Linked DNA regions of Rhinolophus ferrumequinum. The protein of the gene in region 1 interacts with the protein of each later gene in a pairwise test. Links are inferred from orthologs where the notes say so. Each region holds a gene or a part of one and is shown in the gene's direction. Other genes may lie near its edges. The genes, in order: ARL6IP1, SNX11, NDRG4 and SNX12.

What was found.
Region 2: the proteins of ARL6IP1 (region 1) and SNX11 interact in binary tests that used the Homo sapiens proteins (3 or more experiments, as listed by UniProt). The two-hybrid records come from large-scale screens. The link is inferred for Rhinolophus ferrumequinum from reciprocal best matches to the Homo sapiens genes ARL6IP1 and SNX11.
Region 3: the proteins of ARL6IP1 (region 1) and NDRG4 interact in binary tests that used the Homo sapiens proteins (3 or more experiments, as listed by UniProt). The two-hybrid records come from large-scale screens. The link is inferred for Rhinolophus ferrumequinum from reciprocal best matches to the Homo sapiens genes ARL6IP1 and NDRG4.
Region 4: the proteins of ARL6IP1 (region 1) and SNX12 interact in binary tests that used the Homo sapiens proteins (3 or more experiments, as listed by UniProt). The two-hybrid records come from large-scale screens. The link is inferred for Rhinolophus ferrumequinum from reciprocal best matches to the Homo sapiens genes ARL6IP1 and SNX12.

What each region holds. Positions count from the first base shown.
Region 1 is NW_022680357.1:14,985,306-14,993,250, reverse strand, and holds the start of ARL6IP1 (ADP-ribosylation factor-like protein 6-interacting protein 1), read left to right. Parts: upstream 1-4,939; 5' UTR 4,940-5,056; coding exon 5,057-5,092; intron 5,093-7,249; coding exon 7,250-7,383; intron 7,384-7,842; coding exon 7,843-7,945. UniProt on the Homo sapiens protein: Positively regulates SLC1A1/EAAC1-mediated glutamate transport by increasing its affinity for glutamate in a PKC activity-dependent manner.
Region 2 is NC_046304.1:34,898,222-34,906,081, reverse strand, and holds the start of SNX11 (sorting nexin-11), read left to right. Parts: upstream 1-4,850; 5' UTR 4,851-5,084; coding exon 5,085-5,179; intron 5,180-7,476; coding exon 7,477-7,536; intron 7,537-7,860. UniProt on the Homo sapiens protein: Phosphoinositide-binding protein involved in protein sorting and membrane trafficking in endosomes. Regulates the levels of TRPV3 by promoting its trafficking from the cell membrane to lysosome for degradation.
Region 3 is NC_046298.1:10,731,264-10,738,870, forward strand, and holds the start of NDRG4 (protein NDRG4), read left to right. Parts: upstream 1-4,598; 5' UTR 4,599-4,774; coding exon 4,775-4,811; intron 4,812-7,607. UniProt on the Homo sapiens protein: Contributes to the maintenance of intracerebral BDNF levels within the normal range, which is necessary for the preservation of spatial learning and the resistance to neuronal cell death caused by ischemic stress.
Region 4 is NC_046284.1:1,884,667-1,891,624, forward strand, and holds the start of SNX12 (sorting nexin-12), read left to right. Parts: upstream 1-3,949; 5' UTR 3,950-4,088; coding exon 4,089-4,253; intron 4,254-6,958. UniProt on the Homo sapiens protein: May be involved in several stages of intracellular trafficking.

The sequences.
Region 1 (7,945 bases):
CCTTATCCAAGCAAAAACAAAACAGCTGTATATCAATAGCTGTATATTTTGCCTCTGGGAAATCATCCGTCACTTTTCTTTTAAAAGGGTCCCTCAGACTAGTGTGGCATGTACACGTTTGGTTGTGGGGCAGGTGTGAACAATGGATGACCTCTAAGACGCTCTTTAGTGCGCTCTAGATGGGACCCGCCGAGTCTGTACAGTTGGGCCTCTTCTGGAAGTCAGCCTGTAAGTAGCCTTGCCGTTCTGAACTGTTGTAAGAGAACTTGACAGATGTAATCAGCAATAAAAGGCCCTGGTGATGGAGCAGATGGAGCAGTCAGGGCTGTATTGGGGGGATTATCTTGTAATGTCAAGTTTAGAGTGCTGTGGTTATGAAGTCATACACACTTTTTATGATACAAAATACCTGTGGAAAACCAGGGATCTGCTCCTCTCTTCCTCTTTTCTCTAAGATTCAGGGGGTACAGAATAACCTACAACCTCTAATTCAACTCAAAGTACCCTTGGAAATTGGTTTATCTTAAATGTTTTGTTGTCTTCGGTTTTCTAGAATGCCCTGAATTTTAGTTGATTCCTCTACAAAGTTGTGGAGGCCGTGGAACTGTATTTCTCTGTTTCTTTGGTGTGTCTTGCAGCACCTCCTTATTTTCTGATCGAGTTCTTAACATAGTTTGCTAGATGATTAAGATTCTTTTGTGTCAGACACTTGTGGTTTTTTTTTTTGAGATATGTGAGAGAACTGATAACCCAGCTCTTGATCTGCTTGCCCACATGGCTTCTTTTCAGAGCCCAAGCCCCAGGTTCCGGATGAGGGCTTCTGATACAAAGAAAAACCTCCATCACTTCTGCCCTTAACACTTGCCTCTCTTACCTAAGCTTAGTATGTAGCTTTCTTCATATTGTCCAGTGTTTGGTGTTATCTGCTTTGTTTTTGTTGTTTAATCGTGCCCGTTCTGTCGTGTGAAATTTAAGGAAAGAGCCATTAAAAAATGCCCCGCAGGGCAATGCAAGTACAGCCAAATATTAGAGTTAACGTTCAGTCTTTCTTGTACTATAGGCAGTACTTTCAACTGAAGAGTCTTCCTGGCCTGTTTTCCTCCACACACGTGTAATTACTCCGGGGGCTTACCTTGTTTTGGCAGTCACCAGCTCCTCCTGCTTTTCTCCCCCTTCTTTTCACATTAAAGAAAGCCTGTTAGCCTACAATTAGCCAGTTGGCCCTATTCACCTACATCAGAAATCAGCGGATTCTTTACTATTAGCACATTTAAGAACCTCTGTCTTAGGTAAAGTTAGATGACTGAACACCAGGGACCTTCCATTCTATTCTGTATCTTGAACTTGTAAAGTGCCAGTAAGTTAAAGCTACAACTTCCTTCTCCGTAAATCAAGGAGCTACAATATATCAATGTGAGGGTCACTTCAAGAAGGTAGCCTCTGTTTTCAATATTTGGGTTGTACTAGAAAGATTCGTTCTATGGGAGAAAAGACTAGCATTACAAATTGGTCTGAACCTTGGGGAAGGGACAGTTCACTTTGCTGTGACCCCTAAGGGTTTGTGGCACTTTTTTCTAGGCTTGGGTAACACTATCACCGTCCCTTACGTGCAGATGGACTCCACTTTAGAGCAGCTTTTCAGGTTCCAGGGTTGGTTGTACAGTGGGACCTACTTCGGAGTCGTTTGCCATCCATGGGAATTTGGCGGAGCTTAAGTGGGGAACAGCTCTCTGGTGTGCTAATGTGAAAACGTCATACTACGACTACTAGCTCTTTAGGACTTTGGAAGCTGGTCAACTTTAGGACTTTCATGTTCTGAAATGCAGACTTGTAGAACGTTTTTCTTTGAAAACTGGCTGAATTTTTGTTTTCCTTTTCCTGAACAGTCCCAGGTTCAGCTCCTGTTTCAAGTTCTTGTGTCAGTTGTTTTTCTGGTTTAAATTTTTATGCCTTGTATTTCCATCTGTAATGCCAGTGACCTCATCATCACTCCCTTGTTAATTTACCCTCATTATAAGAGCAAATTGAGTTGAACTGGATCTTGTCCTAGTAAATGTTGTATAAATAAAGTGGCTTCTCTGTACACAAGGTGGTCATGCCTCCTGACGGATATCATTCTGTGATTGTATTTAAGATTAAAAGTTGAATAAATCACACCAGCTTCCTGAAAATGTTCATAATGCATCTTTTGGAAAACAAAATACCTGCCTATTTTGTGCATATTTGCATCGACATGGCAAAGATTGTATGAAATACCTGTTTTTCAAAAAATAAACTCTTAAAAGACATAGCATTTAAGCTCTGAATTTATTGCTTGAAGTAGTTTCCAGAACTTAATTTTGGAATATGGGTAGCTTTTTTAAAAAAAGGCATTAATACCGCCAAAACTTTTTCAACTTCTCAAAAAAGTAATTTGTTCTACCCTTAAAGTTCTATATAGTACTTTTGAACAGCAGTAGAAATTTTACTTCAACGGGGGAGTTCTTGGTATTAAGGCACAATTTATTAAGCTTAATTTTGTTTAACATTTAAAAACAAAACTATAGAACATTATTGATGTGTACATTTCCTGGGGGTGTGAAAGCTCTGAAGGAAAAGTAAAACGTCCAGCTTGTTTTAATGTCTGGAAATCAGACTGCATTTGTTGTTGCTAGATTGTGTTAGGATTTATGTTAACGGTTTAGTCATCTGGCAGGTTTCAAAAGATCACATCCTGAGCGGCTCAGTGATTGGCCAATTTCCTAAACTGTTGGAAGGGGGGGCCACTCAGAGGGGGCATGTCTTGAGCTGTATTATGCAAAGAACCAACTGAGCCAAAACTAACAAATGAAACAGAACTCTCTTAGCCTTAAGAAAGCTATGTACGAATAATTATGTTTACCTCACTGGTGCATTTAAAATGGACTTCCGTTCATGGGAGAACCTTGTTGACATTCACAGTCTGCAGCCTTTCATTGATTGATGTTAAACGTCACAGCAGTCCTTGCTCAATAAAGGTCATATTGGAAACATTAAAAAAAGATCACATCCTGTTTTTGTAGTACAAAAACCAAGCTCAAAAGGAAGCTACACTAAGGGTAGGTGTTTTTTCAGTTAGGCCAATTAGAAGTTTAAAGACCTGATGGCAGTGCCCCTAGGCTGTGAAGTTGCATCTAGTCCTGGGAACACATTCCTCGAGGAAGGAAAAAATACTCCCCGAAGCAAGTGCTGCTGGAGTTGCTTTAATTTTTTCCACCTACCTCAATTTCACAAGCTGGTGTTGAAAAGTTGTCTTTAAGTTGTACATAGGGAACTTGGGTGAAAACCAGAAGTATTCTGTAGCAAAAGCTGATTTCCCAAAACAGACATGTCATTTTGTTGTTTGTGTGGGGTTTTTTTTTTTTTTTTTTTTTTTTTTTTTTTTTTTTGTCACTTTTTAAAGCCTAATAACTCTAGGGCCTGTCCTTTGGGAGTGGATGTTACTGTGCCTTTCGCAAAATTGTGCTCTCAGTGCTCAATGTATTCACTAATTATGTTGCTGCTGTTTGCGACCTTTCATCGTATTTTGAAGAGGTAGGGGAAGGCTGGGCCCTTAAACTTCATAGCTTAAAAATGGGGTCGCTAGATCAACTTGCTGCATCTTACCTACATAACCCATCTTCTGCCCCCCAACACCTCCAAAGTATTACTTTATTGAAGACCCTCTTCCCTTGCTAAGTCTCCCCCCACCAAGTATTTATATCTGATCCAGTTGCTTTATTTTTCAAAGACTTTCTTGAAATTCACAATGCTGCTGTCCCCCTGGCTTTCTTCAGGGTGGAATGTGTTCTGTAGCTACCGTTGCCTCACATTTCTTTTCTGCCTTCTGTGAACTCTCAACCTGGTAGTAAGGAATGCTTGTAAAACAAATTTGAATTCGATCGCATATTCTAGATGACTATAAAACGTTAAAAAGCTATGCTACGTTTTCCTAAAACAGACATCTGACCAGGTCAACATTTGGCATGCCTCTGTTTGAATAACGAAAATCGAAGCACTTAATTCATTTTGAAATTCTGGAGAGAGAAGGCGTGGGAAGTGCCTCAGCACAGCTCAGTTCATCTAGTTACTCAATTGCTTATGAATTCCACTGCTGATGCGAGTTGACACGTTAGCATGACCTCTAGTTGTAAGGTGGTCAAAAGCAGTCCTTTTTGGAGAGGAACCTGGTAGCTTCATAAGCAACTCAAGGGCTTCACACAGAATTTTCCAAAAGACCCCCTGTAAATAAGCCAGCTTTAAAGCCGGTGCATCTTCCATGAGTCCTCAAAGTATGACCCCGATCACCCCGCTACATCCCTCCCAATCAAGCTAAAGCCTTTTCCCTAATAGGAAGGAAAAAATGCAGAAAATCTACATAAATAGCTCTTTCCCATTGTCCTCGAAACCTCAGGAAGTGGGCACGAGTCTCCGAGTCGCAAATCTCGGCTAGACTGGTCAGTGGCATGGCTAGAGTGACCAGAGCAGGAATAAAAAGAAACCCCGGGGGACAGCGAGGGTGAGGGCACTGCCTGGTCGGGCAGAGGATCCCAGACGGCCCCTTTCATTACAGCGCGGTTAGCAAAACATGTCCATCTCTGCTCTCCGCCTGATACTGGGTAGCATATTTCTTCGAGAACTAAATTTCAGGAGAAGTTCCGAGACATACCGTGCCAGCCAACCCTGGGGATACTGAGGCCCAGTCCAGCCCGGGTCAGCGGTCGTTCAACAGATTCCGAAACGCCTGGGCGGGGCATCGTGCATCTCCTGTGCGTTGATTGGTCATGCTGTGTCCCCGCCCCCTCGGCCCTGCGCAGCCTCGCTTTCCTTTGACCTCGATTTCAAGCCATGCGCTGGGCAGCAGTTGGTCCCGCTCCCCTTAAGCTTGAGCTCGCGCTGCCCAATGAGGAGCGAGCTTCGCGGGGGCTGTCGGGAAAGGCGGCCGGCCTATATAAGCGGCTTGCGGGGCGTGTCCTCGCGCCGGGGTCGCCCTTTGGGTCTCGGAGGAAGGCTGTTTCGGAGGGCGGTTTGTGCTCGGTGAGGCGGTATTTCGGGGACGATGGCGGAGGGAGATAATCGCAGCACCAACCTGCTGGTGAGTCCCGGCGCCGCGACGCAAGGGAAAAGGAGTGAGGCTTTTGTATTGTGTTAGGCTCAAGCCGGCGGCGCCGCGGCCCTGGCCCTCTCCCGGTTTCCAGGCGCAGGCGGCGACGCCTGCCCTTTCGGGCTTCTTGGGAAGCTCCTGCGTGGCGGTCGCCAGTCGTATCGTCCCCTAACATTCTCTGGAAAAGGTGCGCGAAGGAGCGAGGAGGGTGCGTGACCAGTCACCGCGAATACGGGTTGAGGAAGTGGGCAAAGGGGGGCTGTGACAAGCCCGGGGCCGAGGGCCTAGGCCCCAGCCGTATGCGGGTTTCCTTCTCTTTGACCTTAATCGGGATGCCACTTCGTTCTTTTGCCCCAAACTTGCGCAGGGGTGGAGGGTCAAAGGGCCGCTGCCGAGAAGTTCGGTTAGAACTGGCACAGCTTGAAATGGCAGGAAGGCTGCGAGCTCACCCTGGGGAACTGGGAGTGGGGTACGGCTGGCAGGACAGTGGGAGGTCCAGGCGTCTGTCCGGAATGTGTAAGTCTGGGGGTCGCAGGACGACTTTAGAATAAGCAGGGGTACGAAGGCACTGGAGTGAGGTTGGTTGTATCCCAGGCGGACAAGTTTGACCTCACTACGATTTTCATGGCACGATGGAGGCAAAACCGAGAGAAATCCGTGCATTTTCTCCGTTGCCTTTCTCCAGGGAAAGGCAGCTGCACACCACAATCACAGTGAATAGAGGGAGCAAAGAATTTAAGTTTGGGCTTTTGATTATCCAAGAGCCCGGGTGCTGACGAATTAAGAGATTTTGCAGGGCGGTTCGCGCGATATTCGTTTTGCATTCATTTTTAGAAATGCATGACTTACCCCCTTACACACACACACACACACACACACACAAATACAAATGCATGAATTACCCCTTTATACACACACACAGAAATGCATGACTTCCTTACACCCCCCGCCCCCCCATAGTTAGCCCCAGCCAGGTTCCTTTTTAGAGGATGATCAAAGCACAGAGAAGTTACCCCAGGTCAGGACTCTTTCCGGTAGAGCAGTGTGACTTTTCGGGAGGACAAGGCTCTTGGCCTTGGATTTCCTGGATTCAGATCTGTTAACGTCTGTGTATTTGTTACAGTTTCCTCATCTGTAAGTGAGGATAGTAACACCTTCCTTTTAGCTTGTTGGGACGTTTAAAGTGTAAGCGTGTAAAATACTTAGTCAAGTTTCTTTCACATAGTAATCTCTTATTTATTAAACATGATATGGGAAGTCAGAAATACTGAGGTCCCCTAGGTGATCAGTGTGGCACAGAGAGCATCTTTCATTAAGATTAAGCTGCGCTGGCTGCTGTCATTTGCACATTTCCCTGTGATAACATTTTTTAAGGACACATGGGTATCTTGTCGCAATGTTTTTTTCTCTGTCAAAATCAGCTAGAGGACTTTCTGCCACATTAGCTCATCCTACAAGTCCACTTGCAGCTGATTGTCAGATTAGCAGAGAAATTTGAAGTCTAACCAAAATGTCCTGATAAACGTGAGAAGCACTATAGAGGTGATATATTGAGCTTAAAATGAGTCATATATTTTGGTGAAAGTAGTTTTTCTTAAATGTGCAAATCATGTCAACATCTAAATGATTCCATTACACAAAGAGCTATTTTGGAAACTGAGTGCTGTTCAGGGAAAGGCTTTCCTAATGGACTTAGAAGTAGGGGTTTAAATCAATGAAATGACAAGACAACAGATCAATTCCAACCACCCGAAATGAACGAACATAAAGTGATCTAATTTTATACTCTGGATACTTTGCTTCCTAGGGCAGGACTTTGGGGGAGTTAGTTAACCATTCTTTACTTGTAAAATGGGGGTAATTATCCCTACCTTGAGGGGCTCAATGAGGATTATGTTGCATCATACCTGAAAAGAGTAACCCAGTTCTTAGACTTGGGAGGTGACCGTTAAATGATAGCTTTTTTCCTCCGTTGGTTTTTGTCATTGGTACCAACATTGTAGAGTATTTTAGAAACTAATTTGTTTAAGATAGTGATTTGATTAACAGCTATTTTACATACTTGGTGCCTTACAAGAATTTAACTTTAGGAACCACAGAAATGTTGAGAGTAGTAAAATGATGGCTTTAAATGTTGATCACATGTAGGCGGAAGAGACTGCAGGTCTGGAAGAGCAGCTGCAAGGATGGGGAGAAGTGATGCTGATGGCTGATAAAGTCCTGCGGTGGGAAAGAGCCTGGTTTCCACCTGCCACTATGGGCGTGGTTTCTTTGGTGTTTTTGTAAGTGAGCTTTTCTGTTCCTTAAGGTTGTGCTTGTTATTAATAAGGGCTTAGGTAATACACAGCCTCTGTTTATGGAGGAGCCTTAAGTCTTTTGTAATGTGTAATCTGTAACAAATGCCTTTTCTTTGAGCCGTTTGCCTAGTTTGCAGAATTTGTAGTACTTCCATAAACTTGGTGACCTAAGTCAGTTGAATAACTCGGTGACTCTCAAACCGTTTGGCCTTAGAACCCTTTACACTCCTAAAAAGTATTGAAGATCCCAAAGAGCTTTTGTCTCTTGGTATTTACACTGCAGCTATGTATGATGTTATGAAGCTTCCAGAAAACCATGTGTGAGAAAATTAGAATGAAAAGGGCAAAATAACATTTTTGAGAACCAGAGGACAAAGTGAATAAACACTTAGGAATAATGGCTATGTTTTTCTAACCTTTGTTCATTTTTTTTTTTTTAAACAGGACTATCTACTATCTCGATCCATCTGTTCTGTCCGGTGTTTCCAGTTTTGTTATGTTTTTGTGCTTGGCTGACTACCTTGTTCCCATTCTAGCACCTAGAATT
Region 2 (7,860 bases), on another chromosome or scaffold:
ATCACAAGTAATGTGGGGAAGGAAGTGCGATGTTGCAAAAAAAGAAGGACTTGGAATCCCGCTGAACTGGATTCAATTCTGTCTCTACGATTTGCCTGTTGTGTGTAACTTTGGACAAGCTGCTTAACTTCTCTTATCCTCAGCCTCCATAAAAATCTAAAACATGAAAATATTATTTAAGACCTATCTTGCAGCATTTCTGTAGGATTAACAGTAGTGTGTAAAAAGAATGGTCTATAGTTGGCACTCAAAAAACAATAGCCATTTTAGGTATAGTAGACAGCTGCTTCTGAGATGTGATTTAAGAAGTGGGGAAGTATAGAACTTTGAAAATATTTTCCTCTGCACTGTGTCAAATTCTTTGTTTCATTTCCTTCCCCAATTTTAAATATTGTAGTAAACATACATACATATATATATATAATTTACCACCTTAACCATTTTTATGTGTACAGTTCAGTGGTATTAAATACATTCATAATGTTGTGCAACCATCACCACCCATCTCTAACTCTTTTCATTTTGTAAAACTGAAACTCTATACCTGTTAAACAATAACTCCCCATTCCTCCCTCCTGCCAGCCTGGCAACCACCGTCCTACTTTCTGTCTCTATGATTTTGACAACTCTAAGTATCTCATTTAAGTGGAATCATTTAGTATTTATTTTTTTGTGACTGGCTTATTTCACTTAGCAAAATGTTCTCAAGGTTCATATGGACATATGTTGTAGCATGTGTCAAAATTTCCTTCTTTAGACTGAAGAATATCCCATTGTATGAATATATCACATTTTGCTTATCCGTTCATCCACTGTTGGACACTTGGGTTGCTTCCACATTTTAGCTATTGTAATGCTGCTACCTATGAATGTGTGTGTACAAATATCTTTTCAAGAGGCCCCACTTTCAATTCTTTTGGTTACATACCCAAAAGTGGAATTGCTGGATCATATGGTAATTCTAGTTTTAATTTTTTCAGGAACTGCCATACTGTTTTCCACAGTGGCTGTACCATTTTACATTCCCACCAACAGTGCACAAAGGTTTCAGTTTCTCCACATCCTCTCAACTCTTTTTTTTTTTAAATACTAGCCATCCTAATGGGTGTGAGAGTCTTTGTTTGATTTTGATTACTACTTGAAATTCTGTTGTTAAAGATTTATTCATTTGCAGTTAACTCGCAATCTCTTTTAAAAGGCAAATATATACTTAAGAGCTGTTTCTCTTACCTTCCTTTGTTGGTCTGATTCTCAAGTGACTTCCAGGTACTAATGGACTATAATTAAAACATACACTTGTCAAATAATGCACCCATAGCTCTGACATTGATTGGTTTTCTCAAAAGAAGGGATCCCTGCTTGGAGAGGTACTTACATCATTTGCTAACTTTTCTGCTATGATAAGGATTGGCTCCATTATCAAACGTTAGAAATTGTTGAAAACATAAGCTCGAGATAGGGCACCACTTGTTTGTGAAATATATATTACATTCAAATTATAAATGAATTTATTTAAAAGCATTTATTAATATTCCAGATGGATGATGCTAAAATATAAGCTCTAGGAGGTCAGGACATATTCCTTTTTGGCTCACTGCTTTATTCTTAATGCCTAAAACAGTGCCCAGCCCATAGAAAGGGCTCAATAAATATTTGAATGAATGGATACATTCTGCAGATATACTCTGGGGTTTTCCAAGTGTGGTCTACAGACTCTGAAGTGCCTGTGATGGTTTGAGGGAGTCTGCATGGTCAAAATTTTCATGATAGTAAGACATTATTTGTTCTTTTTCATGTGTTGACATTTGCACTGGTGGTAGAGAAGCAACAGTGAGTGAAACTGCTGGCACCTTTGTATGAATCAAGGCAGTGTGGCACCAACATACTAGATAGAGTATTCTCTACTGGCACACCTATGCAAAAAAAGAATTATAAGCCACTCTCACTTAAGGCTATCCTTCATGAAGCAGTACAAATTATTAACTTTATGAAATCTCTTTCCTAGAGTATATGACTTTTTTTTTGACATTAATTTTCTTTGTCTTTTTTTAAAATTTATTGGGGTGACAATTGTTAGTAAAATTACATAGATTTCAGGTGTACAATTCTGTATTACATCATCTATAAATCCCATTGTGTGTTCACCACCCAGAGTCAGTTCTCCTTCCATCACCATATATTTGATCCCCCTTACCCTCATCTCCCACCCCCCACCCCCCTTACCCTCTGGTAACCACTAAACTATTGTCTGTGTCTATGAGTTCTTGTTTCTCATTTGTTTGTCTTGTTCTTTTGTTGTTTTTGGTTTATATACCACATATCAGTGAAATCATATGGTTCTCTGCTTTTTCTGACTTATTTCACTTAGCATTATACTCTCAAGATCCATCCATGTTGTCACAAATGTTCCTATATCATCTTTTCTTACCGCCGAATAATATTCTATTGTGTATATATACCACAACTTCTTTATCCATTCATCTATCAAAGGACATTTTGGTTGTTTCCATGTCTTGGCCACTGTAAACAAAGCTGCAATGAACACTGGAGCACACGTGTCTTTATGTGTAGATGTTTTCAGATTTTTTGGGTAGATACCCAGGAGAGGGATTGCTGGGTCATATGGTAATTCTATTCGTAATTTTTTCAGGAACTTCCACACTGCCTTCCATAACGGCTGCACCAGTCTGCATTCCCACCAACAGTGTATGAGGGTTCCTTTTTCTCCACAGCCTCTCCAACACTTGTTACTGTTTGTCTTGTTGATGATAGCCATTCTGACTGCGGTGAGGTGACATCTCATTGTGGTTTTTATTTGCATTTCTCTGATGATTAGTGATGAGCATTTTTTCATATGTCTATTTGCCACTTGTATGTCCTCTTTGGAGAAATGTCTCTTCAGCTCCTCTGCCCATTTTTCAATTGGGTTGTTTGTTTTTTTGTTGTTGAGTTTCATGAGTTCCTTGTATATTTTGGATATTAGCCTCTTATCGGAGGCACTGTTTGCAAGAATCTTCTCCCATTCAGTTGGTTAGTATATGACTTTTTAATGTAATATGTGATGAAATGGAAGATGTACATAAAGCCCTTCTGCTGCTTACTGAAGTAGATGGTTGTGCAGTTGTTTGAGATGTGTGAGTTGAATTAGCTGCTCTTTTTCATGGGATGTTTTTATTTGAAAGAATGACAGAAAACGGCTGACCCAGTGGCTCAGGTAGTTGGAGCTCCATGCTCCTATCTCAGAAGGCTGCGGGTTCGATTCCCACATGGGCCAGTGGGCTCTCAACCACAAGGCTGCAGGTTCAATTCCTCGACTCCCGCAAGGGATGGTGGGCTGCACCCCCTGCAACTAAGATTGAACACGGCACCTTGAGCTGAGCTGCGGCTGAGCTTCCGGATGGCTCAGTTGGTTGGAGCGGGCTCTCAACCACAAGGTTGCTAGTTTGAGTCCCGCAAGGGATGGTGGGCTGTGCCCCCTGCAACTAGCAACGGCAACTGGACCTGGATCTGAGCTGTGCCCCCCACAACTAAGACTGAAAGGACAACAACTTGACTTGGAAAAAAGTCCTGGAAGTACACACTGTTCCCCAATAAAGTCCTGTTCCCCTTCCCCAATAAAATCTAAAAAAAAAAAAAGAAATAGGATTTTTAAAATATTGAATAATATAATGCATCAATATCTGGAAGATCTGCATAATTTAGTAAGCCAATATTTTTCAAATTGTTTCAGATTCTGTATTGTAACTAACCTTTAAGAAACGACCATTTGTTGAGTTTTGCTGGTATCCAAGAAAGGTATGCACAATTATAGCAGAAGGCTAAAAAATCTGTGTGAGACAGGATTTTCTTCATTTACTAGACCAAAATAACATAGCACAATAGAGAATGAGGAAGCAAATAGGAGAATCCAGCTGTCTTCTATTAAGCCAGACATTAAAGAGATTTCCAAAATTGTAATAAAATGACACTACTCAAATTTTTTTTTTTGTTCTGGTGTAGTTGTATTTCACAAAATATATTATTTTAACATGTAATAATTATTATTGTTTTAGGTGAAGTAATAAATATTTTTTCATTTCTCAATTTTAATTTCTAACTTGGTGAATATCCCACATAAACAAAAGCTCGTGGAATCCTTAATCATTTTTAAGATCGTAAAGGGATTCTGAGACCAACAAGTTTGAGAAAAGCTGCTTTGAGGTATGTGCAGTAATCTCCACTTTACAGATGAAGAAACTTAAGACTTACAAAGATTTAGGACCAGCGTCAGGCCACAGAGTCAGTGTAGTGCTGGGGTTAGTACCTAGGTGACCTTAACTCCAGAGCTTGTATTTATAACCATAACTTTTCCCTTGATATTATCTTTGCTAACATCATCTTTAAACTGGTAGTTAAAAGATATTTCAACAACATGAAAAAAACCCTTCATCATATTCAACGGATTGCTCTTACGAACGAGCTGCACCATCCTTCTTTGGGCTCATTTCGGCAAGTGAAACGTGTGTTGCTGAACTGTCTCAGTCCGGTTTTCGCTCTGATAGTCTGTGGTTTTACGAACCTGAGTTGAAGTCCTCTTGATAACTCCCCTGGGGAACTGCAACCTATGGGGTGCAACTGAGGGCTCTCTCGGGACTTTACGAGGCTCCAGGAACGGGGGCATTTTCTGCCCCGACCCTCCCACACTCAAGACCGCGCTTTGCAGAATGAAAACCCCGGCGACAATCCCCTCATGCCGCTCTGCTCCGGAGGTCCCTCTTTCAGACCTTTAAAGACGCTCCTTGGCCTCTGATTGGCTGGCCTGACAACGATGGGAGGGACGCGGCCCTGGATTGGACGTCATAGCCCTGACCACCCCTCACGGCGTCCACCCACTGTCGCTAGGAGTAAGTGGTGCGGGGTCCTGACTGAAGCCAGGGTCTGAGCTGGGCCCAGCGCGCCGCCCCGCGAGCAAAATCGCCACTAAGAGCCGGGGTCTGCAGGGGCGGGGCGTCCTGGGCACCCGGGATTGGCGTGTAGGGAGCCGTCTCCCGTCGTGCACCGGGGCACCGTCTACTCACCCGGAAGGAGAAGCTGCGACTGGCTATATGGTAAGGTGCTGGCGGTGTCGCTGTGGAGAGTGGGTGCTGCTCTCAGGTGAAGAAGCGTGGGCGGGGCCGCAGGGACTGGGTGCTGCTTTGAGGTGAGGGCCACGGACTTTAGCGTCATTAGTCGCGCTTGGGGTGGGCACTTCGCTTGACATCCTAAGGGCTGTCTCACCTCCCGGGAAAAAGGCAGGTACTTGCTCGGCATCCAAGGGAGGAAATGTGGCTTTTCCATTTATTTTTAAAGGAATATAAAGCATCTTTCCTTCCCACTCCCCAAGATTAATAGACAAAGGAGAAGAAGGACCATTGTGGCCCTTTGCTTCCATTCGTTAAGAATGGAAGGAGAGTGGCTGTAGTAAAAGAGTTTGGGGACATTTACTCAAACGGCTAGGACAAAGAGTAATGGCAAGCATTTTACGGGAGGCTCTTGCGTTAGATTGTGATCAACTTTGCGACTTACCTTCCAAGTGGAAGGATTGGCAAGTTACAGAGGGACAAAAGGATGGAGCAGAGATGCTTGGTTGAGAACACACAGAGCTTGGTCAGCGGGGGGAGCTTCCTGTACCACCTGTGGGTGTTTAGGAAGGAGAGATTTTTGAGTTGCCTTCTGGCACCAAGAGCTCAACAATGACTAAGAAGGGATAGGAGTCTTGGTAGCTCCATGTACTTTTATCACCTGATTTGCTTTTTAATTAAAGTCTATTGGCGTGAAAATTGTTAGTAAAGTTACATAGATTGCAGGTGTATAATTCTGTATTACATCATCTATACATCACATTGTTGTTCACCACCCAGAGTCAGTTCTCTTTCCATCACCATGTATTTGATCCCCTTTTACCCTCATCTACCACCCACCTCCCTCCTTACCCTCTGGTAACCACTAAACTATTGTCTGTGTCTATATGAGTTTTTGTTTCTTCATTTGTTTGTCTTGTTCTTTTGTTGTTTTCAGTTTTATATACTACATATCAGTGCAATCATATGGTTCTCTGATTTGTTTTTAACCTGTCTCTTGAAGTAGTTTAAATGGGAGCGAAAATGGTGGAGCTAAAGCCTTGAATTGTTAAAAGATTGGAAAGCTTTACAAGGAATTTACTTTGTAAACAGCAAACAACTGGGTTCTCCTTGGAGATGTTAGTGGAGAAAGTAAACTTCAGATGTGATTGCAAGAGCCAAGAAATGGAGTTAGCTCTGAGTTGCATAAGTAGCTGAGAGAATCACTGACTATCTTTATTTAGATGATAAACCATTCCATCTCTCAGATCCTGAAGTTTAGAACTTCCTCCTTCCCCTCCAGAGAACTGAACTTCATTTCCTTCCAAGGAGTGGCATCTACGGAGAGGAAGCTAACAGATTAGTACGTAGTTGCTAGAAATTATTACTTGGAATCTAGGTTTTTTTTAAATTTGTTTCAGTGTTTTTAAGAAGTTACAACTGAAACTTTCTTAGTGCCCTTTAAATTTACATTTAAGTATACAGCATCTTGGGAGGTCCTAGGATTTTTTTTAAAGCCAATTTATAGCTATTTATTTATAAGTGGTATTAGTCCCAAAGGAAAGGAGAGGAACTTGCACGTGGAAGTGGTGCAGAGCCCTAGGCAAACTCTTCTTGAGCCCAGGAGAGTGATGACCTTTTAGTTACTAAATTATAGTCCTGAATTTGACAAACCTTTCAAGGCACAGGAGATAGGTGAGCTCCACGGAGTTTGTGGATGACTGTGATTTCCTGGGCATCATCTTTCCTGTCGTTACTTTTGTGAAACACTTCAGAATCGAACTCTCTGCTCATATGCTGGCAATTTACCAAATGCCTGAAAAGAGAAGAGAAATTTTTTTTTTTTAAATCTGAGGAGGTTCATTGTTTACAGTGAGTCACCCTGCTCTTTTTGGCCACAGCCCTTTGACTGCTTACATCTGGGATTTTATACGTGGGTTGTTATGGCATTGGAATTTCCTACCTTTCAGTTCAGACCCCTTTGCAGTGGTGACTGCATCAGATGAAAAATCAGATTGTCAGCAAGAATGCTATTTAAAATGATATTGAAATCATAAAACTTTCGGTTTGCTCAACGATGTAGCCCAATTTTGTCATATACCATGCAGCTTTGTCTCTGAGTGCAGTGTGGAGAGACCTTCTGGTATACTGGAAAGAATTGGAAAAGCTGTTTGCTCTGCTAATTTTGTGGTGTAAATGAGTTTCCATTCTCTTGAAATGTTAGCCTTGTGTTAGCTAAACATAAAATAGAAGGAAACTCATTACACACTCTTCTAATGGTAAGGCAGAACTAATAAGGGAATGTGTTTAAAATTAATTGTGGGACTGTAAGAATGAGTGGGTGTGAATGGGCATGGGGGAGGAGAGGGAGATCTTAGAGATAGTCTTGTTTTCCCAGGAGCCAGCCCGGATCATTTGTTGGCAGTACATATTGGCTGAAGTCAGTTTTCATTTCAAGGTAAATTGGAAAGGGAAATTAAACCTTATTGTTCCGCTCTTAAGAGATGAGAAGAGGGTGGAGGTGGCAGCCAGGTTGGATGCTTTTCGAGTGGTTCTAGGAGTAACAAGATTAGTGCTGTATTTTAACAGAAGGTGACATCATGGGCCCCTTTGGACTTGAGTAACCCCGTGCTGCAACCTTCATGGTCCCCTTGTCGGAGTGGGCGATGTGGCTGCACATGTAAACTGCCACATTGGGGGAAATCAGCGGCTTAGGCTTTAATGAATCTTTACAAAGGAGCGGAAAACATCCTGAGTCAGCCTGTGCAGCTGTGGGGTGCTT
Region 3 (7,607 bases), on another chromosome or scaffold:
ATGGATGATGGATGGATGGATGGATGGCACTCTCCCCCAATCACCCCCTTTCTCATCTCCATCTACTGACTTCCCACCACTCAAAGGCTCCAGGAAGCCCTTGCTGGTCCCTCCAGGCCCCCATCATACTGCATAGTAACTTCAATTACATATTTTATCAGCGTCTGCCCAGGACCTAGATTATGGGACTCTAAGTTGGTTTCCTCCATCTGTGCATAAACCTTAAAGGCAAGGTTGATGCCCTGGTCAGCTGTGGTTCTCCACTGCACCCCACAGCAAGGGGCTTGGCACCAACGAGGCACTCAACCAATAATCCTATAAAAGAAGAGACAGAATCCACTCTTCTCTCCCTGAGGCCATTTGACTCATGGTTAGTGAGTGGGGGAGTGTCAGTGGAGGGGGGACAGTTTCTGCCTTATCCTCCTCTGCTGAGAGAAGCTTCTATGGCCCCAGGGTCATCTGCACCCCTGACCCCACCTCTAGCTCTTTTTACTTGCTCCCAGTCATGGTCACGAGGGAACTGGAGAGGAATAGTGACTCAGCCCAATTCATCACCACAATGGAAAAACCCAGTCACCTGTCTTCCTGGCAACGGGACCAGAGCTGCCTCTGTATCTGAAAGGGCAGCACGCCATACTGGTTTCAAGGTCCTTTTGTCTTTCACCTGCTGAAAAATCAAAGACTAAAGCATGAAGGAGCTCCGCCTGTTGACACAGGATTTGCAGTGGGGTATGAATCTCAGAACCAGGGATCACGTGTTCCCTCCATGCCGGCTCCAAGTTAAGTACCCATGTGCGTCATCTCGTAGCAGTTTCACAACAAGTCCATTGTTATCTGAAGTGAGCACGGTCATTTTTTTGGCCGCCAGCATCTGACACGCCCACCTCCCACTAGAAGACCTGAGAACACCTTTGCCCTGCCTCCCTTGCAGCTTTGGCAGGGTACCTGATCTGGGTGCCTCCAATCAGACATGCCCTTTTTGAGGGGGTAACATTGGTTAATAACATTATAAAAATGTCAGGTATACAGCTTTCTATTATGACATCTGCCCACCACCTGAAGCCGAGTCTTTTTCCATCACCATATATTTGACCCTCTTTGCCATCTTTCTCCTCCCTCTACTCCCTTCCCGTCTGATAACCACCATTCTGTTGTCTGTATCTGAGTTTGTCTTGTTTGTTCATTTGTTGTTTTTTTTGTTTTACAGCCTACTTATGAGTGAAATCATACAATTTTTGTCCTTTTCCTTCTGACTTATTGCATTTAGCAAATAGTCTCAAGATCCATCCATGTTGTTGAAAATGTAGACACACCGATTCTTGACTGTGAATTAGAAACTGGTGACCTGAGGAAGCCAAGACCACACAGAATTCATACCGGCAAGGATGCAGCAGTGGCCACAGCACCACCTCAGGCTTCAGAGGCAGCCCGATGGCAGCGTCCAGTGTCCTTGCCCTGGGGTGGTGCTGGCTGTGCCCAGAGATGGCAGCAGTTTTGACACCGGACCAATGCTGCAGTGTTGGGCCTGGCTCCTGAGATCCTGAGAGCTGCCTGCCCTCATTTTATCAAAGCCCTTTTACTCTTTAACTAGCCAGAGTAGGTCCATTATTTCCTGCAACTATCCAGCCTGGTATATTAGCCCAAGTTTCCCGATGGGGAAATGAAGGCTCGGAGAGGTCTTCCGAAAGGCTGTGTCTCCTCTACAGCCAAGGTGCAGGCCAGTCTCCTGCCTGTTTTACAAACGGGAAAAGGGAAGTCCAGAGGAGGCAGTGACTTGGGCAGCATCTTTCAGCTAATTAGGAACAAGGCTGGGGGACATGTCTTAGAGGCCCCCTGTCCCAGCCAACAGCTTGGCCCTCTGACACGCTCTGCTTTCCTCTGTTGAAAATCCTGCCATCCAGCCTACCCCGAACCCGTGCCCCCTCATAGGGAGGAGGCACTCAGGAGCAGGAGGGACTGAGAACTGGCCCTTCTGCTGATTCAGTGGGGACTCCTCATTGCTAGGCATGCTGACTCCTCCAGAAGGGGCCAGGGCGCCTCTACCTGCCTGTTCCCTGAGCACCTTTGCTTGCTGCAGTAGCGCCGCCACCCTCCCCCCAAGAAGGGAGGTGTTCTTACAACCACATTTCTTCATCATCTGTTAAATCTCCAGTTTTAGGGTTCAAATCCACAACCTGGCCCACCTGGATGCTCACGTGGAGTTCATGGCTTATCTGAGCCAAATGGATTGTCTACATTAGTTCAAGGCCATGGCAGACACCATTCCACACATGGACAGAAGTGTCATTGTTTCAAAGCTCTTGTTAGGCAGCCTCCCCAGGCCTATGTTCCTCCGAGCAATTCAGAAAAGGCCAGACCTCATGAATTATGTTACTAGAACATCAACAATTTGTTTTGTTTAATGACTAGTTTGAAATTATTGAGAAGGGTAGGACTCAGGAAAGCCTGAGAGAATCTCTAATGCAATAATTATAATGTTATCATCAATAATAGCGACTGTCTATTGAACACTTCAGCCATGTGCCTGGCACTGTACTAAGCACTTTATGTTCCATCATTTAATTCTTACGGGAACCCTCTGAGGTCAGCATCATTCCAATTTCACTGGGTATGACATGGAGGTTCAGAGAGGTAAGTAACTTACTGGATACCACACAGCCAGGAAATTGTAGAACCAGCCTGTGTTCTTAAGGACTCGCTCCAACTTGTATATACAGAACCAGGCTCCTGGATGTTTTGGATATAGCAGTTCACTCTATCACCACTGACCTCCCCCATCCCCTTTACAAAAGAGGAAACTGAGAGGCCAGGATTTCCCCAAGGTGAGCCCCAGAGCTGTAAGGAGAACCCGAGCTTGCTGCCTCCTATGTGGTTATATACTGCACCCCAAGCAGGAACGTGCACCCCATCTGGAGCCACCAAATATCACAAACTTTCTCAAGGAACACTGGTGATTCCGTTAATTCAATGCCATAGCAGCTGCCCCCACAGCCTGGAGCTGAAGGAAAGCTGGGGTCTCACCACAAACCAGCCCAGATAAAGGTCCCATGAAGGTGAGCAGGTGGGGGCAGGCTCTTCAGGATCCTCCAGACCTCCCACTCCACTGCCTTCCTGGACCTCCCAGATGACCTGGTCCAACACAATCACTCTATAGGTAAAAGGCTGGCATCCAGGAGGGGCAGAGACCTGTCCAAGGTCCCTCACAGAGTCTGGATAGAACCCCAGCCCCCAGGAGCCCTCCTCTTAAACTGTTTTGTCCAAGTAAATATTTTCAGGTCATCAGATTTCCATTCTCCCTGCATTAGGACTCCATCCAGGGACTTCTGCGCTCCCTCCTTTGGGGTGACAAGTGGGAGCAACGCCACAGGGCCAGACCAGAACCTGAGGAAGACGAATCTCCCAGTTACCTTTCCCGCTCACATAATGGAGGTGAGTTGAGCGGAACAAGTGCCTTACTACACAAGGGAGGGGGCCAGGGGTGGGGCTGAGGGCCCAGACACCTTTGCTGGAGACAGTCACTCCCACACGAGTCCCCCAAGTAAACCCTGGGGTTCTGAAGACTGGGTGAAGACGCCCCAAAGGTGCCTGAGCGCCTGGCTCTTCCTGACCCCCCAGGGCTTTTCCCCAGTGGTTCCCAGGCGGCGGCAGGGGTGGGGTGGGGTGGGGTGCTGCCTCCTCCGGGCTGGGGTTCCCCTCGGGAATCTAAACAAAGACTGAGGCGGAAGCCGCCCCCTCCCCCGGGAGCACGACGCCGCCCGGCTGCAAGAGGACCGTATCTGCGGGCGGGGCCTCCCACCACCACCCGAGGAGTCCCAGCGGCGGGGACCCTTCCTCCAGGAGCCTTCGGGAGGTAAGGAGTGGAGGACGCGGGGGACACGATGAACCGGAGGGTCTCCGCTAGGCTCCGGGGTCTCGGCGTCCAGCTCGCCCGCCTGCCCACCCACGGGAACTCCCCCGGTGGCGGGAGGCGGAAGCTGAGCTCCCAGGACGGCCTCCCGGGACCAGTCCCCATTGCAGGCTCCGCCGGCGTCCCCGCGCCCACGCCCACCACACCCACGTGGGCGCGCCCTCGCAGGGCCTCCGCCCCCCGCAGCCGCTCGACCGAGGGGCCTGGGGCTGCAGCCACCCGCGCCCGCGCATTGGCGGCGAGGCCCCGCTCCCCGCCTGCGCCTAGTCCTCGCTCACGTCGCCCTCGGTGAGTTGGCGCCGCCCTCGGCCCTTCGTCCCTGTCCCCCGGCCACCGCGGCCTCGGTCAGCCCCCGTCCCGGCGCAGCCACAGCGCACGACCCCAGACCCGCAAGCCGGTTCCCTGTCGCCGGGGCCGCACCCCCTCCGCCTCTAGCGCGCCCAGGCTCTCCCTCGTCGCCTTCCCAGCCAGAAGCGGGGACCCCGAGGCCACGGCCCCTCCGCCGCCCGCGCCTCCCCCACCGCGACACCCGCGGGTGGCAGGGCCTCTGTTCCAGCGCCGTGCGCACGGCCTCCTCCCGTCGCCCCCGAGTGGCCCCCGCACCCACCCCTTGCGTTCCCTCCGCCTCCCGGAGTTCACCCCGACCAGGTGGCAGCGGGCGCCTTTTAGGGGTGCGCGGTCGTGCAATTGGTGGATTTTTTAAAAGCGTTTTGGAGGGGGGAGCGCGGCGTGGGGGGCGGCAAGCGCGCTCCTGGCGCTGGCTGCTGCTCCTGCTCCGCTTCTCCCTCTCCGGCTGCTTCTCGCCTCGCGTTCCGCGCTGCTCTCCCCGACGCCGCAGCCCGGAGCTGGGCAGCGCCAGGCGCCGAAATGAAGGTGCTGGGGCACAAGATCCAACTGCTGACAGGTACCACCGGCCCTCGCCGCCCGCCACTGTCCTAGTTGGAGCGCGAGCCGGGAGCGGTGGCGGGGGGTGGGGCGGCTCGGGTGCGAGCTGGCGGAGGGGTGCGGACGCCCGCTGCTTCCTAGCCTGTGCGGGACCCGGCCCCGCCCTGCGCTGCTCTCTGAGTCCCCGGCGTCCCGGTGGGTAGAGCGTGTGTGGCGGGAGCTCTGGTCAGGGGAGCGGCCCCCCGGTGTCTCCGAGTAGCCAAGCTCTAGTCAGGTCCACAAAAGAGGAAAGGAAGTTTAGAACCCCTGTCCTCCAGTCAGTGTCACTCGGTCCCCAAAGAAAGGAGCTCCCGACAGAGCGCCTGCCATGGCCTCTTATTCCTGCTCCCTGTAAGAGATAGTCTGAGCGCTTCTCCCAGGAGAAGCTGACTGCTGAGAGGAGAGGCCTGGGAAGTGGGAAGCCAGATGGGACCCTGATGACTGGGGCCCCTCAGCTTTGGGTCCCCCTGGAGAAGTGGCCAGACCCCATGGTGGAAACCACATCCAGGGCCTTGAGACTGGAGATCAGCAGCGGACATTGGATGTGCCAAGAGGAGGAGGCAGGGAGGAGCAAGGTCGCTGGGCCAGGGCTTCGAAGGGTGGGGCACGCGCTCCCAGGCACAAAGGGCGAATTGCACAGGCAGATTCTGTGGAAAGATGTGTGGAGAGACTCGGACAGGAGGACGGGGGCTAGGAAAGGGACGCAGTCTGGACCCCACCAGTGCCTGGGTGGTGGCGGTGCTCAGTGTGTCCTGGATGGACACGTGGATTCCAGCACTGTCCTCTGGCACTCAAGAGGTCTGGTCCCTGACCTCTGCCTTACCATCTGGTGCAGGAGAGCAGAGCACAGGACCCTGTTACAAGACAGAAAAGGGGGCAGCAGTGTGGGGGTGCACTCAGGAAACAGGTTGGCGTCGGAGTGGGGGACACGAGGGGAGCAGAAAGATTTGAGCATGTGGCAGCATTTGAACTGGACCCTGTAAGATAAGATTTCTATTAATGGAGAAGGAGGTGGCATTACAGGCTGAAGGATGGAGGGACTGGTATATGCAGAGGCCCTGGGGTGTGAGAGGCTTGAACTGGGAGTGATGTGAAGTGGAGACTGGAGGGCCTGGAGAGAGTGTGTGTGTGTGTGCGTGTGTGCATGTGTGTGTGTGCGTGTGTGTATGTATGTGTATGCACGCGTGTGCATGTGTGTGTGTGTGTTTGGGGAGTAGGTGGGGTGAGGTTGCAGGCTGGCCGCTCCTTGGTTTGGTGGCAGACTTCTAGTGAGGTGAAAGTGGGGCACTGGAAACTGCCAGGTGCTCAGAAGTGCCAGATCGGTGCCCAGGTAGCCACCAGGCTGGCACCCCCTGCAATTCCTTGCCAACTTTTCCTTGTAGAGCCCCCTGAAGCCAGCTCACCCACCTGACTTCAAAGGGGATTGCACAGGGCACTGAACTTGTTAATCCCCTGAAGGAAAGGTTTTCCAACCCAGTGGGTTTTATAACCTTGCATGCGCGACCAAGCTCCTGGATCCTTCCGCTCCTCCTCTTCCCGCCCTGCAGAGCCTGGGGGAGGAATGCTCGCAAGCGTCATGTGTGGGGCTCCAGTGGGGGCCCAGGGGGTTCAGACAGGCCCTTCCTCCCTCATCAGACCGCCTCTCTCAGTTCTGGCCGACTCTCTCAGCCCCAGCCAGGCTGGAACAGCACCCCTTCTTCATTGTCATTGATCACAGTTGCACCTCTCACCAGGCCATCCCCAGTCGCTGTCGTGTGGTTTTTGCAGCCATCTCCCTCTTTCAAACTCCTCCCGTCCCACAGATCTGGGTTCAAGTCCCAGCCCCACTGCTGGGCAGCTGTGTGATTTCAGACAGGTTGCTTAACCTCTCTAACTTCAGAGTTCTCATCTTAGAGATGGAACTGTTGAGCCCTCCCTCTGAGAGGTGGTGTGAGGCTCGCTGAGATAGCACAGCTGACACACCTGGCTGGGTCCTGGGTGGTGGGCACCTCTCGGACTCCTTGATCTTGACTGTCCTGTAATAGTGTTCATGTTCCCTGGCTGATTGACTGCTAGGAAGTTCGGATATGTCCCCACCCATCTTTATTCTTGCTCATATGCATCTGTGAGATTTTTTTTTTTTTATTGGGGAAGGGGAACAGGACTTTATTGGGGAACAGTGTGTACTTCCAGGACTTTTTTCCAAGTCAAGTTGTTGTCCTTTCAATCTTAATTGTGGAGGGTGCCGTTCAGCTTCAAGTTGTTGTCCTTTCAGTCTTAGTTGTGGAGGGCGCAGCTCAGCTCCAGGTCCAGTTGCCGTTTTCTAGTTGCAGGGGGCGCAGCCCACCGTCCCTTGCGGGACTCAAGGAATTGAACTGGCAACCTGTGGTTGAGAGCCTGTGCTCCAACCAACTGAGCCATCCGGGAAGCAGCTTAGCTCAGGGTGCCATGTTCAATCTTAGTTGCAGGGGGCGCTGCCCACCATCCCTTGCGGGAGTTGAGGAATCAAACTGGCAACCTTGTGGTTGAGAGCCCACTGGCCCATGTGGGAATAGAACCAGCAGCCTTTGGAGTTAGGAGCACAGAGCTCTAACCGCCTGAGCCACCGGGCCGGCCGCATCTGTGAGATTTTGACCCATCTTCCTGCTGGTGATAAACAGGTCACAGTCAGGGTGGTGGCCAGTTTCCCATGGTAGCATACAGCAGGTGCTCAGTACTTGTTGACTGAGTCCAGCCTCACATAGCCCACCCATCAGCTGTGTCTCCAGAATAATTTCTCAGAAGCCTCCAATTTCTT
Region 4 (6,958 bases), on another chromosome or scaffold:
CAAGTTCTGATGTTACCTGTTTGTTTGCCAAGAGATTTGAGTCAGCGGTTTTTTTTTTTTTTGGTGTGATAATTGAGGTACAAAGGATAACTCTGCCTTGCCCAACATCACTTGGTAACTGTGAAGCTCTTTGCCTCTTGTGAAGAGCAAAAGTGTGTGTGTGTGTGTGTGTGTGTGCACGCGCGCGCGTGCGTGCACCAGCTGGTAGCAGCTGTCACTGTTATTACTGCAAAGGATTTAATTAGCCCAGTACCCTCTACTCTCCTCTCTCCACCCTATCACATTTTTCTCTTTAAAAAACCCCTTCACACCTCATTGTGAATTTAACTTGCACAATTCCCTCCGGGCTATTTGATTTTAAGCCTTACCCCTTTACTTACCTGTATATTCAACTTCTCACTTTCCATGAAATCCCCCCACCTCCCCCAGCTATAAACACTCTAACAAACAAACAAATCCTTCTTTGACACTGCATTGCCCACTAGCTACAACACTCCTTTCTTAGGCAAGCTTCTCAAAAGAACAGTCTCTACTAAATGTTTCCACTTCTGCCCCGGTTTAGTTCTCGGTGTCCTGCCATCTGGGTTCTATCTCCAGTGCTCTACTGAAACTGTTCTCATGTAGGTCATTGTCAAATCTAGTGGACGTCACTCAGGCTTTATCTTACTTGACTGTTCTATTGTATTAAAACACTGTTAACCACCTACTTGCTCGTTTGGAAACATTGTTTATTCCTCCCCTTCAGCTCATTCTTGTCTCCTGGTTCTCTTTCTCCTTATTCTTGTCTCCTGGTTCTCTTTCTCCTTCCTTGACCACTCCTTCCTGCTCTCCTTCACAGGCTTCTCTTCCTGGCCCTGTCCTTTAATTTTCTTTTCTCAAAGGGAAATAGTTTTATTTCTTTAATTAAAAAAACAACATACGTTCATTGTTTAAAAAATCCTAAATAAAAACATAAAATCCAACTGAAACCCCACCACAGAGGTAACCACTGCTAACATGTTGATTTGTATCCATCTAGTCTTTAAAAATTATTGTATGTAGATATATCATGTTCAATAATACAAATGGTATTATATTATGATAGTTTTACCAGCTTTTTTCACTTTTGTATGGGCATCATTCCACATCAATGAGCATAGAACATTATTTTAAATGGACACATAGGAGAATCCTGAATTTGGCCATTTACACAAGAGACAGAGTTTTATGATGGAAGTGACTGAGATACAACGTCCGTAAAGTAGAGAACCCAGTACTCCTTTGTAAGACTTCTCATATAAATAAATTCACAAATGAGAAAAACGTGGCTACAAAAATATTCCGTTGTATAAAATGAACAATTATTTACTTGTAAAGATAAGATCCATATTCTGGTATCTTTATGTGAGTATCTGATTCTTTTCTCAGGGTAAATTATTGGAAGTGAAATTTTTGAGTCAAAAGTTTTGATCAATAACAGTAAAATTGTTTTTAAAATATAAAAGTACTTAAATGAGAAGAAAATGAAAACAAATTCTCCCTACTGTCCCTGACTTCTGTTCTCCGGTTCTGCTCTCCAGAGACAACCAGTATTACAAGTTTCTTGAGGTCACAGTGTTTTGCTTTTTTTTTAAGGAGGGCACAGCTGACAGTGGCCCACGCGGGGATCGAAATGGCAACTTTGGTGCCATCAGCACCACACTCCAACCAACTGAGCTGATCTACACTCTCAGCAACCCTGCCTGCCTTCAACAATTTGAAATCTCCTCTGCTTGCCTCTTCACATTCTTGCTTCCACACATGCTGATGACGCTCAAATCTCTATCTAACCCTGGTCACACCCTAGAGCTCCGGGCCAGTATTTCCAGCTGCCTGCTGGACATCTCCACCTGGATGTCCTACAGACATCTCAGATTTCTCCAAACTGAGCTCATTGTCTCCCTTCCCGAAGTCACTCTTCTTTCTGTAATTCCTATGTTGCTTGGTGGTACCAGCATCCACCTAGTTACCAAAATCGGAAAACTAGGGGTCATTTTCAATGTCCTCCTTCTCCCCTCAAGTAATAATAATAGCTAATAGTTACTGAACATTTACTATTTGCGCATATTTTATTTCACTGAATTCTCGCAAAAGCTCCAGAGGTAGGTTTTAGTGTTATTATTTCCATTTTACAGATGAGGGAAACTGTTTGGGTAACTTGGTCACAGTTACACAACTAGGAAGTAGGGCTTTTAAACCCAGGCAGCCTAAGTGCATCGCTCCCACTCTTTAGCCCTATGCTATACTGCCACTGTATCTAATCAGATTCAAGTCCTATCTACTTTAGTTCTTCCATCTCAGTCCCATCTCTTCCCTTTTCTCCATTCCCACCATACCACCCGGCTCCAAGTGTTATTGGCGATACTCTCATGGTTAGTTACATTCGACTCAATTGTATCTTCCACGTTATTCTCATGGTTAGTTACATTCGACTCAAATGTATCTTCCACGTTGCCTGCAAAATAATCCTTGTAAAACACAGATCTGATCATGGCTTCTTCCTGTTGAAGACGGCTCAGTGGTCTACATCATAAAGCCAGAGCTTAATATAGAAGGATCACCCTCATCTGCCCATCTCCAGCCAGCCTGTCTCTCTAAGCACTTCTATTACATACCCTGTCAGAATTGATAATTGCTTAAAAATATCATGCTGTATCTTACCGGGATGGCTTTGCATACGTTATTCCCTCTGCAAAACATTACATTTCCCCATTTCCTCTTATTTGTCCTTTACGTGTTTCATGTCTGTCAAACTCAGATGTTTTCTCCTCCAGGAAGCCTTCCCTAATTCCTCCAAGTCATTCATGTCCTATGTGGTGCTTTGAATATTCGTTTATTTTGTATTTGTCACATTATATTCATTTTATGTACCTGTCTCTCTTTCTACAGTGTTAACTCCTTGAGGGTAGTGACTCTCTTATTCAAATTTAGGGCTTTAGTGCTTAGTATGGTGCCTGGCACATAAGTAGTTGCTTGGTAGATATTGGTTATATGGAATTAAATAACCTAATTCTGAAATTATAGAGCCTGTACTCTGTTGAAAGAATTTCAGCCATCAGTGATATGGGATATATATATATATATATATATATATATATATATATATTTCGTTTTTTTAGCAGAAGGCTGGTGTGGGGAGGGAAAAAGGATGATTTAAAACTACCCCTCATGTGGGCCATGTGTAAATTAGTCATATATTCATGTTTCTATAGACATTCTCACGTAGACATATATTCTATCTCCATTACAGGCTGCAGGTAACCTCAGAGTAGTGTCAAGTATGGAGTTCTGCAGAGTGAAGATAGAAGGTATGAAGTAAATGCCCTCAGTTTTCTGTATTTGAGCACACCTTGGCTTCAGTTTTATGAGGCCACACGTGGAGGATGAAGATATGCCCAAATTTTCCCAAGAAGTGAGAATGAGAAGTCATCTTCGTTACGCTATCCTCGCTGCTTTCGTGATACCATACAACGCACACTGATTGCTCAGTTGCGTGTGGAGTGAATTGAAACTATCAGTGGCACGAGTGGCAGGGCTGCGTTCGTTCTAGGTTCTCAGTGCCATTGTTGGAACCTCACAATTCCAACAATGAGGCCCCCCTTCTGTTTTCGCGCAGAACCTTACTTATTCAGGTCCCGGGGCTTCGGCCTATCGCTGTCGGACCCCAGCGCGCAGGGCAGTGCCCACTGCTGACTGCTACACGGTGTAAGACAGTCTCTTGGGTTGAGGAGCAGCGATTGGCGGATCCCGCTGGAGTGCTTCCCGGGATACGGGGGGCACGTACGGGGATGCAGGCTCCGGGGCAGCCGCAAGCACCGCCCGGAAGCCTGAATGAGGCCTCGCGGTACGGGACTCCCAACCGTCAGCGTGGCCGCTATACAGGGTGCCGGGCCCGAGGCCGGGGCGCCTGCGTGCGCGTGCGTGCGTGCGTGGGCGCGCGTGCGCGGCGCCGCAGTCTGTAGGTTGGCTGGCTATTTTGCAAGCGGGAGGGGTCGCGCGCGCTCCTGCCTCCGGCCTCTGTCCCCCACCCCCCCTTCCCCGGTCCCGGCCTCGGTCTCTCCTTCGGAAAGATGTCGGACACGGCCGTAGCTGACACTCGGCGCCTTAACTCGAAGCCGCAGGACCTGACTGACGCTTACGGGCCGCCAAGTAACTTCCTGGAGATCGACATCTTTAATCCACAGACGGTGGGCGTGGGCCGCGCGCGCTTCACCACCTATGAGGTTCGCATGCGGGTGAGTCACGGGGTGAGGGAGACAGCTGAGGGAGGACCTGGCGACGGGCCGGGAAGGGCGGGGGGGGGGGGGTTGCCACAGGAGCGACGAACAGTGAAGACGCTTGAAGGGGTCCTTTGGGGGTTCGGGGCTGAATAGGTTTGGGGAGAGGTCTTCAGACGGGGTTGTGGGCCGAGGGTCCACAAAACTCCTGAGGGGGATATCAGACCGGGTGAGAGCAAACAAGTCCCCGTGAGCAAGAAGTGAAGCATGGCCGGATAGGGTGGGGACGATGGACAAGATCGGAGGAAGGAATTCAAGGAACTAGTGGTCACACCAAAGGAGTGAAGGGAAAGTGGGGAGAGGGCTGGGGCATGGAAAGCCGAGGCGAGATGTCGCTGAGGCCCCTAACTAAACTGGGTGGTGGGAAGTCACTGTGAAGAGGCCAGGAAGGCCCGGCCCGGCTTCTCCCGAGGGGGTCTGGTCTCCCTCCCTAGGATGATGGAGTTAGGCAAAGCCTGATTAAAGGGAAGGAAGGTAGACTCCAGGAAAGGCAGACAGTGGGCTCGGTGGAGCGAAATCAGAAAGGGAGTCTCCTGGAGACTGAGTGCTTCCCAGACTGGTGTAGAATTAGCATCTGAAGGAGAGAAGTGTTTTCTGCTTAGGTGTTCTCGGATACCACACGCTGTGTCTCACTGTGAAACCAGGCCTTCCACTGTGATTGGTGGATTGTCAGTCGTTGCTCTCTCATCCTGTGCTTATCCTTTAGATTCCAAGTGTCCAGAATGCTTATTTCAGTATTTATTGGCTCTCATTTGGGTTTCCTGTATATGAATGACCACTGGCCCTTTCTGTCCTAGATTAACCATTTGGATTTAGACCCTGGTCTCTAGTTACTTTAGTATATGACATTTCAGGATTGCCCCAGGAGTGGCTTCTTCAGTGTACACTACAGAGGACTTTATTCTCCAGTTCTTAGTCCACAGTGCAAGGATGGAATGTGCAGACAGCATACATGGTTTGCAGGTTCTTTTGCCCAGTCGAAGTGGTTACGGGCAAAAAAGTTTGAGAACCATTTTCTAATTTTCCTTATGTTTTCTTCTCAGACTAGAGGGCCAGAATATTCTCTGTGGACAGCATGCTGCTCAAACAGCATTTGAAGACCTAAAAGAGTGTATGTGCTTTCATTTTTGAATGAATGAATGAGAGCATGTGCTCCTCCCTGGGCATTGAAATCTAATTGCGAAATGATGGCCTCCAAATTCCAAGTTTGGCAAAGCCCAAACTGAAGAAAGAAAAATGAATAGAAAAAAATGAGAAAAACTCACCTACATAGATAAGAACTACTTGAAATCATCTCTTTGGGGAAGAATGGAAGTTAGAGCCCTCAAAATATCATAAAGGCTGGGAACATTTACTGGTACAGAACGTAATTACCTGGGGAGGACTGGCCATAACTTGTTCAATGTAAGGACTCCGCTGTGGGAGCTTTGGGGACACTGCCGAAGGGCCTTAGGGATTATGAATGAGATCGCTCTCTACTTCAGGCATTCTAACAACAGTGACTGCTGTGTGCCAGGCACTAAACCAGGTTTTAGTTTTTAAACCCTTAGAAAAATGCCATTTTACAGGTAGGAAACTGAAGAGGAATCCAGTTTCACGAACTTGCCCAAGTACACGAAGCTAGTGTATGGCGGGGCTGGGGTTTGAACCCAAGCCTGTCTGACTCCAAAGCCCATCATACTCTTTCCACTATGCTTCAGTCTCTCTGGCTATGCTTAGTTGCAAAACTGAAGCGTACAAAATTTTTCTGCCCACTAAGCTTTTCATCAGTCCTTTCCACAATTTCCAATTGCGTAGTGATGACAGGGCTGGTGGCAGTTCCTGGTTCTGTGGGTTTGGAGTTCATTTGTATTGTTCATGTTCATACATATATACATCTATATAGGCTTTTAACATTTTTTTCAACTATGTTCGGAAAAATTGGTGAAAATCGTTTAGTTTTAAATTTCTTTAAGTGGTCACAGTAGGCCTTATAGGGAGCATGAGATTCAGAGAATGGGCTTTGGGCGTCAGGCATTATGAATGGCAGAAGCAGATGCCTCTTGACGTTGTATAATAGCTATTTCTGAAGCTGTTCTCTTTCATTTTGCTCAGGAAAGAATTCTCCCCCTCCCATCCCCCCAAGAAATGAGGAGTCTGGAGAGGTGTCCTGGTGACTTCACATGATGTGTATGGAAATTTTCAAATGTCAGTTGTCCTTTGGACTTGAACTTTGCTTCTTCTCTCCTTTTCCTTGACTTTGTGTTGGTCAGAGCCCAAGGACTCTATATCTTGTACTACACAATCCTGTCTTCCTCAGGTGATCTGTAGGTTGGAGCTGGGAGACTGTCCTAGTGCATAGTAGCCCTTTCCTTAGATGGCTACCGTGTTTCCCCGAAAATAAGACCTAGCCGGACAGTCAGCTCTAATGCATGTTTTGGAGCAAAAATTAATATAAGACCTAGTATTATATCATATTGTATTATACCTGGTCTTATAGTAAAATAAGACTGGGTCGTACATTAATTTTTGCTCCAAAAGACACATTAGAGCTGATTGTCCAGCTAGGTCTTATTTTCGGGGAAACACAGTAGGTGCTGAGATGACAGGCCATTAACTGTCAGCATCCTGTGGGGATAGGGAAAGAATCTGAGTCAAAGGAGGAAGTTTACAGAATGGCGGTG